3 linked regions of the Anolis sagrei genome follow. The protein of the gene in region 2 purifies or fractionates together with the protein of the main gene of each other region. This does not show direct contact. Links are inferred from orthologs where the notes say so. Each region holds a gene or a part of one and is shown on either strand. Other genes may lie near its edges.

What was found.
Region 1: the proteins of KAT2A (region 2) and E2F1 purify together in Homo sapiens (affinity purification with western blotting; 4 studies listed by BioGRID and IntAct, with this or other methods). This does not show direct contact. The link is inferred for Anolis sagrei from reciprocal best matches to the Homo sapiens genes KAT2A and E2F1.
Region 3: the proteins of KAT2A (region 2) and TAF9 purify together in Homo sapiens (affinity purification with mass spectrometry; 7 studies listed by BioGRID, with this or other methods). This does not show direct contact. The link is inferred for Anolis sagrei from reciprocal best matches to the Homo sapiens genes KAT2A and TAF9.

What each region holds. Positions count from the first base shown.
Region 1 is NC_090024.1:209,386,917-209,390,669, forward strand, and holds the start of E2F1 (transcription factor E2F1), read right to left. Parts: upstream 2,994-3,753; 5' UTR 2,546-2,993; coding exon 2,288-2,545; intron 1-2,287. UniProt on the Homo sapiens protein: Transcription activator that binds DNA cooperatively with DP proteins through the E2 recognition site, 5'-TTTC[CG]CGC-3' found in the promoter region of a number of genes whose products are involved in cell cycle regulation or in DNA replication.
Region 2 is NC_090026.1:36,358,399-36,362,151, forward strand, and holds the start of KAT2A (histone acetyltransferase KAT2A), read right to left. Parts: upstream 2,217-3,753; coding exon 1,905-2,216; intron 1-1,904. UniProt on the Homo sapiens protein: Protein lysine acyltransferase that can act as a acetyltransferase, glutaryltransferase, succinyltransferase or malonyltransferase, depending on the context.
Region 3 is NC_090026.1:7,440,861-7,444,613, forward strand, and holds the start of TAF9 (transcription initiation factor TFIID subunit 9), read left to right. Parts: upstream 1-1,449; 5' UTR 1,450-1,485; coding exon 1,486-1,545; intron 1,546-3,753. UniProt on the Homo sapiens protein: The TFIID basal transcription factor complex plays a major role in the initiation of RNA polymerase II (Pol II)-dependent transcription.

The sequences.
Region 1 (3,753 bases), on a different chromosome or scaffold from region 2:
TTTTTATCATTATTCATAATAGTAATAATACAGTTTTGAAGCCCTTCCATCTTGAGAGATTTGTTCTAGGAACCAGGCCCCATGGAAGCTCTAATAAAATAAACATTTTTGTCATTAATATTATACATCTTTGAAGCTTATAAATAACAATCACACACTTCTGAAGCTTATGAATAGGTTTGAACTGGGTTATCTGAGTCCACATTGCCATATATTCCAGTTCCAAGCAGAAAATGTGATTTTGTTCAGCTGGGTGGAAGGGGCCTAAGGGCTCTTCCACACAGCCCTATATCCCAAAATATCAAGGCAGAAAATACCACATTATCTCAATGTGGACTCAGATAACCAGTTCAAAACAGATATTGTGGGATTTAAGGTTGTATGGCAGGGCCCCATGTGTCACCACATTGCTCTGGGAACCAGGCCTCATGGGGCAATAACTAAAGGCAACTGTTTCATTATTATGATTATTATTAATCCAAGGAAGACACTTAACATTACAATCACACACTTTTGAAGCTGACTTAAAGGCCCTTCCAGACAGGCCCTATACCACTGAATATCAAGGCAGAAAATCCCACAATATCTGCTTTGAACTGGGCAATCGGAATCCACACTGCCATATATCACACTTCAAAGCAGATACTGTAAGCTTCAAAACTGTGTGATTGTAATATTTAATAACTATAATGATAGCCTTTTGTTAGGGCTCCATGAGGCCTGGTTCCTGGACCAGATCCTTTTTCAGAATGGTGTGATTTAGGGCCCTTCCGCACAGTCCTATAACCCAGAATATCAAAGCAGAAAACCCCACAATATCTGCTTTGAACTGGGTGATCTGAGTCCACACTGCCATATATTCCAGTTCGAAGCAAAAAGTGTGGGATTTTATTCAGCTGTGTGGAAGGGCCTATATCCCAGAATGTCAAGGAAGAGAATCCCAAAATATCTGCTTTGAACTGGGTGATCTGAGTCCACACTGCCATATATCCCAGTTCAAAACATATAATGTGGGATTTTATCCATTTGTGTGGAAGGGGCCTAAGTCTCACTGTCCTGAAAAAGGATCTGCTCCAGGAACCAGGCCTCGTGGAGCCCATACAAAAGGCCATTTGTATCATTGTTATGATTATTATTCAGAGCAGCAAGGGGCTGAATATTGCAATCACACTCTTTTGAAGCTTACTTAAGGGCCCTTCCACACAGCCCTATAATACTAAATATCAAAGAAGAGAACCCCACAATATCTGCTTTGAACTGGGTGATCTGAGTCCACACTGCCAAATATCCCAGTTCAAAATAGACCATGTGGGATTTTATCCAGCTGTGTGGAAGGGGCCTAAGTCTCACTTTCCTGAAAAAGGATCTGCTCCAGGAACCAGGCCTCATGGAGCCCTAACAAAAGGCCATTTGTATCATTACTATAGTTATTAAATATTACAATCACACACTTTTGAAGCTTATGAATAGCAATCGTACACTTTTGAAATGTAGGGCCCTTCCACACAGTTCTATATCCCTGAATATCAAGGCAGAAAATCCCACAATATCTGCTTTGAACTGGTGATCTGAGCCCACACTGCCAAATATCCCAGTTCAAAACAGACCATGTGGGACTTTATCCAGCTGTGTGGAAGGGGCCTAAATCTCACTACTCTGGAAAAGGCTCTGCTCCAGGAACCAGGCCTCATGGAGCCCTAACAAAAGGCCATTTGTATCATTGTTATGATTATTATTAAGAGCAGCAAGGGGTTGAATATTGCAATCACACTCTTTTGAAGCTTATGAATAGCAATCGTACACTTTTGAAGTTGAGGGCCTTACCAGACAGCCATATCACTCAGGCAGATAATCCCACAAGATCTGAGCTATTTGAATCCACACTGCCATATATTCCAATTCAAAGCAGATCTTGTGGGGTTTTCTGCCTTGATCTGCTGGGATATAAGGCTGTGAGGAAGGGCCCTGAGTCTCATTACCCTGAAAAAGGCTCTGCTTCAGGAACCAGGCCTCATGGAGCCCTAACAAAAGGCCATTTTCCCAGCATGGAAGTGTGCCCTTTCCCCTTAACATGGTGGATTACCCCCCTCTCCCCCTCAAATGTATATACATAGATATAGATATAGATATATATATCTTGATTTGTGTCTCTTTAGTCTGGGCCCGGAGGGGCATTGGGGCCTTTTTAAGGGGGAGGAAGAGAAGGAAGAGGAGGAGGGAGGGCGCCTCTCTGCCCGGCCAGCCCTGGCTTCCCCGGAGGCAAGCGCGGGGGAGGCTGGATTATTACCGGCGGGCGCTCCAGGGCAGCGGCAGAAGGAGTAGGCCTCTGCGCGGCGGCGGCGGCGGTGGCGTTGGTGGCGGCGGCCTCCGGGGTGGCGAAGAGGAGCAGCTCGGCGGCGGCGGCGGCCTCGGCCTCGCTGCGGGGCGCGGGCAGCGGGTCCGGGGTGGAAATGATGACGATCTGCTGGTCCACGACGTGGATGGCCTCGGCGCCCCGCAGCAGGGCTTCCAGGTCGGCCACGCTGTGGGCCACTCCCAGAGACATGGTCCGAGGGAGGGGAGCGGAGGGCCTCTTTCCCGCCAAGACGCGGCCCTGCGGTCACATCGCCGTCCGCCCCAAGCCCCGCGCCCCTTCAGCAAAGCGGGCGAGCGCCCTGTCTTTCTGCCGAGCCCCCTTCTTCCTTTGGGTTCCTTCCGGGCGCCGGGGGCTGGCGGCCAGGAACACGCCCCATCGCCTCCGAGTCAAGAGACGACGACGCCGCTGCTGCCGCCGCCGAGGAGGGAGAAGCCAGCCAAGGCTCCGCTCCGGGGCATCCCCCGGAGAACCCGCTCGCAGGCCGCGATCCGATCCGATCCCGCTTCTCTGTTATTGTTCCCAGCTGGTCCCGGCCTCGCACGCCTTTGCGCGCCAAATCCTTTTTGCCGCGAAAGCCGCACGAGCCCGGCAGCGCCGCTCCCATTGGACGGCTCCCGCGTATCAACATTCGGCCTCGGAAGGGGAGCGGCGCTCTCATTGGCCGGCGGGGAGAGATTGATAACGGCGCCGCCGCCCTCTGGTTGGCTAAGGCGGCCGCCGCTGGGGACGGAGAGAACGTGCTGGAGGAACGACCAATGGATGAGGCTCGAGCGGCGGAAAAGGGAACGGCGCTCTGCCAATGAGAAGCGGAGGGCGGAGCAGGGTGGGCACGCCCACCGAGGGGCGGCCCCCGTGGTGGTTTGTCAAAGTCTCCGCCCTCCCTCGTTTGCCGCCAATCCGGTTTCTCTGTAGAAGAGTCAGAATTGCTGCCTCCGCTGGGTCTGCTCTTTTAGTTTGGAAGTCACAACTCTGGAGTCGGACACGACTGGACTTAATGTCAGGGCAAAACCTTTATCTAGCAACTCGAGATCTGAGGTGCATCTGCATTGGAGAATGAATGTAGTTTGACACTTATAGCTCTGTGCTGTGGTGGGATCATGGGAATTGTAGTTTCACAAAGTCTTTCAGCTTCCTCTGCCTGTGATAAAATCCCCCTTACATGAAATGGTAAAATCAAGGTTTGCTTGATTTATTTCGATTTAGATGGAATATTTTCAAACTGTTTTAATCAGTAGATATGGAGAGCCCACTGTAGTTTGCACTCAATTGATTCAGCACAATAGAGGGAAGTGATATCGAGCAAGAATTTAGGGGTCTTTGCCAAGAGGCCTATCAGACTCATCAAAGAGTTCGTTGCCCTGGCGAGACAGAAAGAAGCACCCAATATTTTCCCTGAT
Region 2 (3,753 bases):
TCTCTTTTTCAATCCATCTTCCCTTCCCCCCCTTTTCTTTCCTTTTTTATTGCATCTATCAAAAAGTCCTTTAATAAAAATTATTCTTTAAAAAATAGTCTAGCCTGCTGTCGACCTATGCAGCCTGAAAGACAGTTGCATCTGTCAAGTAGGAAATTTGGGTACTGCTTTATGTGAGGAGGCTAAATTAATTTATGATGACATAAAACCTTCCAGCAGTGTGCAGAAGAATAACGAAGTACTCCATCAAAGGACTCGGTGTCACAAGTAGACGATGAAGCGGCAGCTCCCCCTGTGGCCGGAATCGAGCATACCCTCATAAAGCTGGAAAAGCTGGAATGTTAAATGTCTCTGTGTCTGTTTATACATGTTGTATGTTTATATGGCATTGAATGTTTGCCATGTATATGTGCATTGTAATCCACCCTGAGTCCCCTGTAGGGTGAGAAGGGCGGAATATAAATAATGTAATTACACAAGTAAACATGACCCAATGTCATGTATCATGTTCTGCAGTTGATGGTGGTTGGTGGTGGTAGGCCTAGCAGTTGGTGATGGAAGGATTAATGTAAGTCTTATTTCTAAAGGGTTGAGTAATCTGTAAGTAAGAGTTCATGGGTGAAAGCAAGTGAGGGTGGAGGTATGCAAGGGATGCGTTGCAGCTGGGTGTTTCTGGATATAAGGAGCTAGCCTTGGGACTGATCTTCGAGAGCAAAGTAATTGTCATATTTTGGTGGTGGATGCTGCTGATTTTCCACCAGGTCTCTGGATTTTCGGTATCCCGACCTGTCTCCTTAACTCTTAGAATCCTGGAACCTTGAATCTTTGGACTGGCTGTTGACTACGGTAGACTTTTGATCCCTGGACTTTGTTTATTGAATTCTCGGCGTTTAACCACTGGACTGGACCTTTGACTACAGAGTTAGCTTGAACCTGGAACAGTGTTTGCTGTTTTTGTTTATTCTGTGGCTGAGTGCTATCTTTATGTTTTATATTTTGGACTATTAAAACAGCCTGAAAGTAAGTGCTGTTTTAATTAAATTGTTTTACACTAGAAACATTTAAAAAGAACCTTAAAACTTGGCTCTTCTGCTGCGCCTTTGGCGAGTAGGTGCACAACATGACACTATTGCTCCCCTCAATGCTTCTGCCACTGGAGTACACGCTCCCCAAATGGGAAGTTTAGTTTCACAACCCTGTGTGTCTTTATGAGCTCCCTGCAAATAACTTGCTCCTATTTTTATCTCATTAGAGTTTTTGAACATTTTATCCTGTACATGTGGCCCGCCCACTGTTACTGCGAATGTGTTTATTGTAATGTTATTTTGTTACTATATTCATATGTTTTTTGTTTTGTTTTTTTTAATGTAATTTTGATAATGTTGCTTGTTGTTTATGTTTTGGTTTTATTTTGATGTAATATGTTGTCCGGGCTTGGCTCCATGTAAGCCGCTCCGAGTCCCTATTGGGGAGATGGTGGCAGAGTATAAATAAAGATTATTATTATTATTATTATTATTATACAGACTGGGTTTTTGTTTGGTTCATCTCTGCCTCTGTAAAGGCAGAGCCCTGGCAACGTGACACCCATTGACAAGAATGTAGGCCAACACATCTGACAGAAATTATACATATGAACTAATTGGAGAGATGGACATTTGCTTTTCAATGTTTTCCCATAATTTCTGATAGCCACATCAACTTCTTTACCAGTCCCTGAAACAATTGGCTGCATATATTCAGAATGTCAAATCTAAGTGCTGTTTGCGCTCAGCGTCGGAGAACAAGGCGACCAAAAACCCTAATCAATGCCTTGCTACATCCATAAAGGATGCAGCTATGGCTGGACCACAAAGTCGGAGGCATTATTTCCGCACATTTTTGTCCCCTACGGGGCTTCGTACCTTGCACGCTGAAAATACCCCCAGCTTCTCGAGCTTTTTTGCCCGCGGGAAGCTCCGCGCATGCGCTTTACGCTGACTCGCGCGCTGTTGCTGGCTTAATCCCGGGCGAACCGGATCGCTGCTGCTGCTACTGCTGCTTCCTCCGGACCCGCCTCCAGAGGAAGCAGGCGGCGCTGTGGCCGAAGAAGCGGTGGCGGCGGAGGATGCGGCAGCCTGCGGGGTCCGGGCACTAGTCTGTAAGGAAACCTCCGGCTCCGCCATGATGTCCAGGACCCTCCGAGGCGGCGTGGGCGCATGGATGCCACTGCGCATGCTCAGAAGCCAGGCGGAGGCTCCTAGGCCTGTGGCTGGAGCGCCACTGCGCATGCTCGCTGTAACCAGTTGCATGCCGGAGAATGTAGTCCCACAAGTAGGGGCCGTTTAAGGTGAAATCCAAGGCTTAAGTGATGAGTCCTGTTGTTCATATAGCAGACCAGAAGAGAAAGGAGCTGTCAATCAACGTCATGTAAAAGATGTAAAATACATTCAGCCCTGATGCAGCTTCAAAACTAAATCTTACTTGGCCTAAACTTTTATTGGTGGCAGTTTATTCATCCTGAAGATGCCACAATACTATTTCTCTAATACAGTTATTTGATTGATTTGGGTTTTGTTTTGATTTGAATTTTCCTGTGTCTCTTTGATCATCTGGAGAGGCCCTACTTGCGCCCCCACCTCCTTCGCAAGCGCGATTGGTGGGGACGAGGGAGAGGGCCTTCTCGGTGGTGGCCCCTCAACTCTGGAATTCACTCCCTAAGGACATCAGGCATGCCCCAATGATGGCAGTCTTTAGGAGGAGCCTAAAAACGTGGTTGTTCCAGTGTGCCTTCCCAGAATAAGGAAAACTCTTAGCAATATGTCATCAAATGCACTTTAATATTGATTTAGGATTGTCTGTGTGCCCTCATCTTTCTTTAAAAACCCTATCCTAGTTCACCCTACCTTGTTCATGCCCAGCATTTTAAATTTTAAATTATTACATTTGGCCCGGACATAGGTTTTTAAATGCTGTATGTTATTGTTATTGTTTATTGCTTATTGTGTATTTTTTGTTTTTGAGTTTTATTTTAACTATTGTCGAAGGCTTTCATGGCCGGAATCACTGGGTTGTTGTAGGTTTTTTTGGGCTATATGGCCATGTTCTAGAGGCATTTCTCCTGACGTTTTGCCTGCATCTTTAGCAAGCAACCTCAGAGGTAGTGAGGTCTGTTGGAACTAGGAAAAAGGGGTTTATATATCTGTGGAATGACCAGGGTGAGACAAAGGACTCTTGTCTCCTGGAGCTAGGTGTGAACATTTCAACTGACCACCGTGATTAGCATTTGATTCCCTGGCAGTTTATTTTAACTGTTTTGTATTGATTACTGTTATCGCTTTTGTTTATTGATGTGCTGTGGTCTTGGCCTCATGTAAGCCGCACCAAGTCCCTTGGGGAGATGGTAGCGAGGTACAAATAAAGTTTTATTATTATTATTATTATTATTATTTAGTGGTTTTTTTTAAAAAAATTACTTAATCCATTTGGATCAAGAAACTGATTTGATTTTTATTGTGTTTATAGTCTTGAGGGAGATGTAGTTTAAAAAGGGAATTTTCAGAGATGCTCCCAATGTCCACATATCTTTTTCTTTCTTACTTCTTAGGCCAGGGGTCCTCAAACTAAGGCCTGGGGGCTGGATACAGCCCTCCAAGGTCATTTACCTGGCCCCTCGCTCAGGGTCAACCTAAGTCTGAAATGACTTGAAAGCACACAACAACAACAGGCCCACACTTCCCATTGAAATACTAATAAGTTTATATTTGTTAAAAA
Region 3 (3,753 bases), about 29 Mb from region 2:
CAGACAAGAGTCCTTTGTCCCACACTGGTCATTCGACAGATATATAAACCCTTTTTCCTAGTTCCAACAGACCTCACTACCTCCAAGGATGCTTGCCATAGATGCAGGCGAAACGTCAGGAGAAAATGCCTCTAGATCATGGCCATATAGCCCGAAAAGACCTACAACAACCCAAAGGGGTTTGAGTTGTTCCTTTTGGCCCTTGGAACACCAAAACCAAATCATGTTCAGAGAAAATATATTACCATGGCTAATAGATAGCAAGGCAACAGTAATAAAAGCCATGATTGCTTGAATCAAGGAGCATCACTTGGGAGAAAATTAATTTTTCCTTTTTTTGTGTGTTTGGAAAGTTTATAAAAGTCAGGTTGCATTGGCCGGGAATCGAACCCGGGCCTCCCGCGTGGCAGGCGAGAATTCTACCACTGAACCACCAATGCATCTGTTGGAAAAAGCTGAAGATATAAATCTTTTTAGGGAGTAAAATGTATAATTATCATAATTATAACTCTTGCTAGCTATGGGTGTTTACCACAATGCATAAGAACTTTGTGAAGCAGCATTTCCTTATCTGGGGCATTGGTGGTTCAGTGGTAGAATTCTCGCCTGCCACGCGGGAGGCCCGGGTTCGATTCCCGGCCAATGCAACATGATTTTTTGAAAAAATATATATTTCATAACATTTCTTATTTTTCTTTAATTTCCTCCCATAATACATTTGTAGGTTATCCTGATTCTGCAACAAGTCAGGCTTTTTTTTTTTTTTGCAAGACCATTTTTCTGAATTGCATCATTGTCTCCTAAATTAAAGGTATTTTCCTTAAAATATCACTTTTTCCTCTTGGGCTATATTTTTTGTGCTAAGTAGCCTTCAACTGCTTTGTTTCGGAGCTTGGAGAAAAGTCCTCACTTTTTGACTACAACTCCCAGCATCCCCAGGGATTCCCAATCCAAAAATAATAATTTGGGAATGTGGCTTCTGACTGTTGCAACCTGGAAAAGTAACTTTCCCACGCTAAAGAGAAAGAGCACCACTAATTAGGTATGAAAATTCGCATTCTCTAAGACAAAGTGTAATTATGAGTCTTGAAAAATCCCTTTTAAACTTCCTATTAGGGAATGAATGGCAAGGAAATGGGCTTCACTTTCACCATTGCGCATGCTCGATATTATTTCCGGCTTTGGGAGATGCCGCTTGCGCATGCTCAGCTCAGTGCTGCAGCGGTTCTTCTGCGATGTCGGCGTGCAGAGAAGGGGCAGTTACTGGGACTTCACTTTCACCACTGCGCATGTTCTGTAATACTTCCGGGTTTGTGTACCGACTACGCATGCGCAGTGTGCTGCAGCTGTTCCTCGGCGAAGGAGGAACATGCAGTGAAAGGGCAATTGTTGGAGCTTCACTTTCATCATTGCGCATGCTCGATATTACTCCCGGCTTTGGGTGCCAACTGCGCATGCGCAGTGGGCAGCAGCGGTTCTTTAGCGATGGCGGCAATGGAGGCGAGCAAGATGGCGTCTCCTAAGAGCGCTCCTAAAGATGCTCAGGTAAGACTGGAAGAAAGATGATACTGAGCGATGACGGTTGTCTGGCCCGTTTGGCTTTTCGTAGTCGCTTCCTAGGGAACATATTTGGCTACCTGTATTAAAAAAAAACCTCTAAAATTAGAACAGCACAACAACAGAGAGGAAACAAACAAGGACATCTAATCACCTCTCAACAAAAGATTGCTCCAGGCACAGCCAGGCCATTATATGCTAATCAAGGTGGTCAGTTGAAACATTCACACCTAGCTCCAGCAGACAAGAGTCCTTCGTCCCACCCTGGTCATTCCACAGATATATAAACCCATTTTTCCTACTTCCAACATACCTCACTACCTCTGAGGATGCTTGCCACAGATGCAGGCGAAACGTCAGGAGAGAATGCCTCTAGACCATGGCCATATAGCCCTAAAAAACCTACAACAACCCAGTGATTCCGGCCATGAAAGCCTTCGACAAAAATCCTTTGTCTCACCCTGGTCATTCCACAGATATATAAACCCTTTTTCCTACTTCCAACAGACCGCACTACCTCTGAGGATGCTTGCCATAGATGCAGGTGAAACGTCAGGAGAGAATGCCTCTAGACCATGGCCATATAGCCCGAAAAAACCTACAACAACCTACTGTTTATTTATTCCACATACCGTTTTAGGGCCTTCCTTTTTGGCAGGGCTCAGTGGAATAGAGAGATTCTTTTTTTCCAAGCTTATTTTCCTGCAGTTCAGCAGTGGAACTCTTTGCTGCGGAGTGTGGTGGAGGCTCCTTTGGAGGCTTTTAAGCAGAAGCTGGATGGCCATCTGTCGGGGGTGCTCTGAATGCCATTTCCCTGCTTTTTGGCAGAATGGGGTTGGACTGGATGGCCCATGAGGTCTCTTCCAACTCTAGGATTCTGTTATGAATAACTTTCCCACGTTATTATTCTCTTCCAATAATAATAATAATACTTTAATGTATTGTCTAATCACCTCTCAACAAAAGCTTGCTCCAGGCACTACCAGGCAATCAAATGCTAATCAAGGTGATCAGTTGAAACAGTCACACCTAGCTCCAACAGACAAGAGTCCTTTGTCCCACCCTGGTCATTCCACAGATATATAAACTCGTTTTCCTAGTTCCAAAAGACCTCACTACCTCTAATGGAGCCCCCGTTGGCGCAGTGGGTTAACCCCCCCCCCTTTTTTTGTTGTTGTGTCAGGAGCAACCGCTCCTGTTGTGAGAGAATTGGCCGTCTGCAAGGACGTTGCCCAGGGGACGCCTGGATGAATTCTAATGTTTTAAACCCCTGTGCCGGCAGGATTGAAGACCGACAGGTCGCAGATTTGAATCTGGGGAGAGGCGGATGAGCTCCCTTTATTAGCTCCAGCTCCTCATGCGGGGACATGAGAGAAGCCTCCCACAAGGATGATAAAACATCAAAAATCATCCAGGCATCCCCTGGGCAACGTCCTTGCAGACGGCCAATTCTCTCACAACAGGAGCGGTTGCTCCTGACACGACAACAAAACTACCTCTAATCACATCTCAACAAAAGTTTGCTCCAGGCACTGTCAGGCCATTATATGCTAATCAAGGTGGTCAGTTGAAACATTCACACCTATCTCCAGCAGACAAGAGCCCTTTGTTCCACCCTGGTCATTCCACAGATATATAAACCCTTTTTCCTAGTTCCAACAGACCTCACTACCTCGGAGGATGCTTGCCATAGATGCAGGCGAAATGTCAGGAGAAAATGCTTCTAGACCATGGCCATATAGCCCGAAATAAACATCAACAACCCACTGTTTATTTATTCCACATACAGTTTTAGGGCCTTCCTTTTTGGCAGGGCTCAGTGGAATAGAGAGATTCTTTTTTTCCAAGTTTATTTTCCCGCAGTTCAGCAGTGGAACTCTCTGCCGAGTGTGGTGGAGGCTCCTTATTTGGAGGCTTTTAAGCAGAAGCTGGATGGCCATCTATCGGGGGTGCTCTGAATGCCATTTCGCTGCTTTTTGGCAGAATGGGGTTGGACTGGATGGCCCATGAGGTCTCTTCCAATTCTATGATTCTGTTATGAATAACTTTCCCACGTTGGAAGAGAATAATAATAATAATAATAATAATGAAGGAAGACTGCCTTTTCTAGATGTCCTAGTTATCCGCAAACCAGATCAACAATTGGGTCACACCGTTTACAGAAAACCCACACACACGGATAGATATCTACATAAA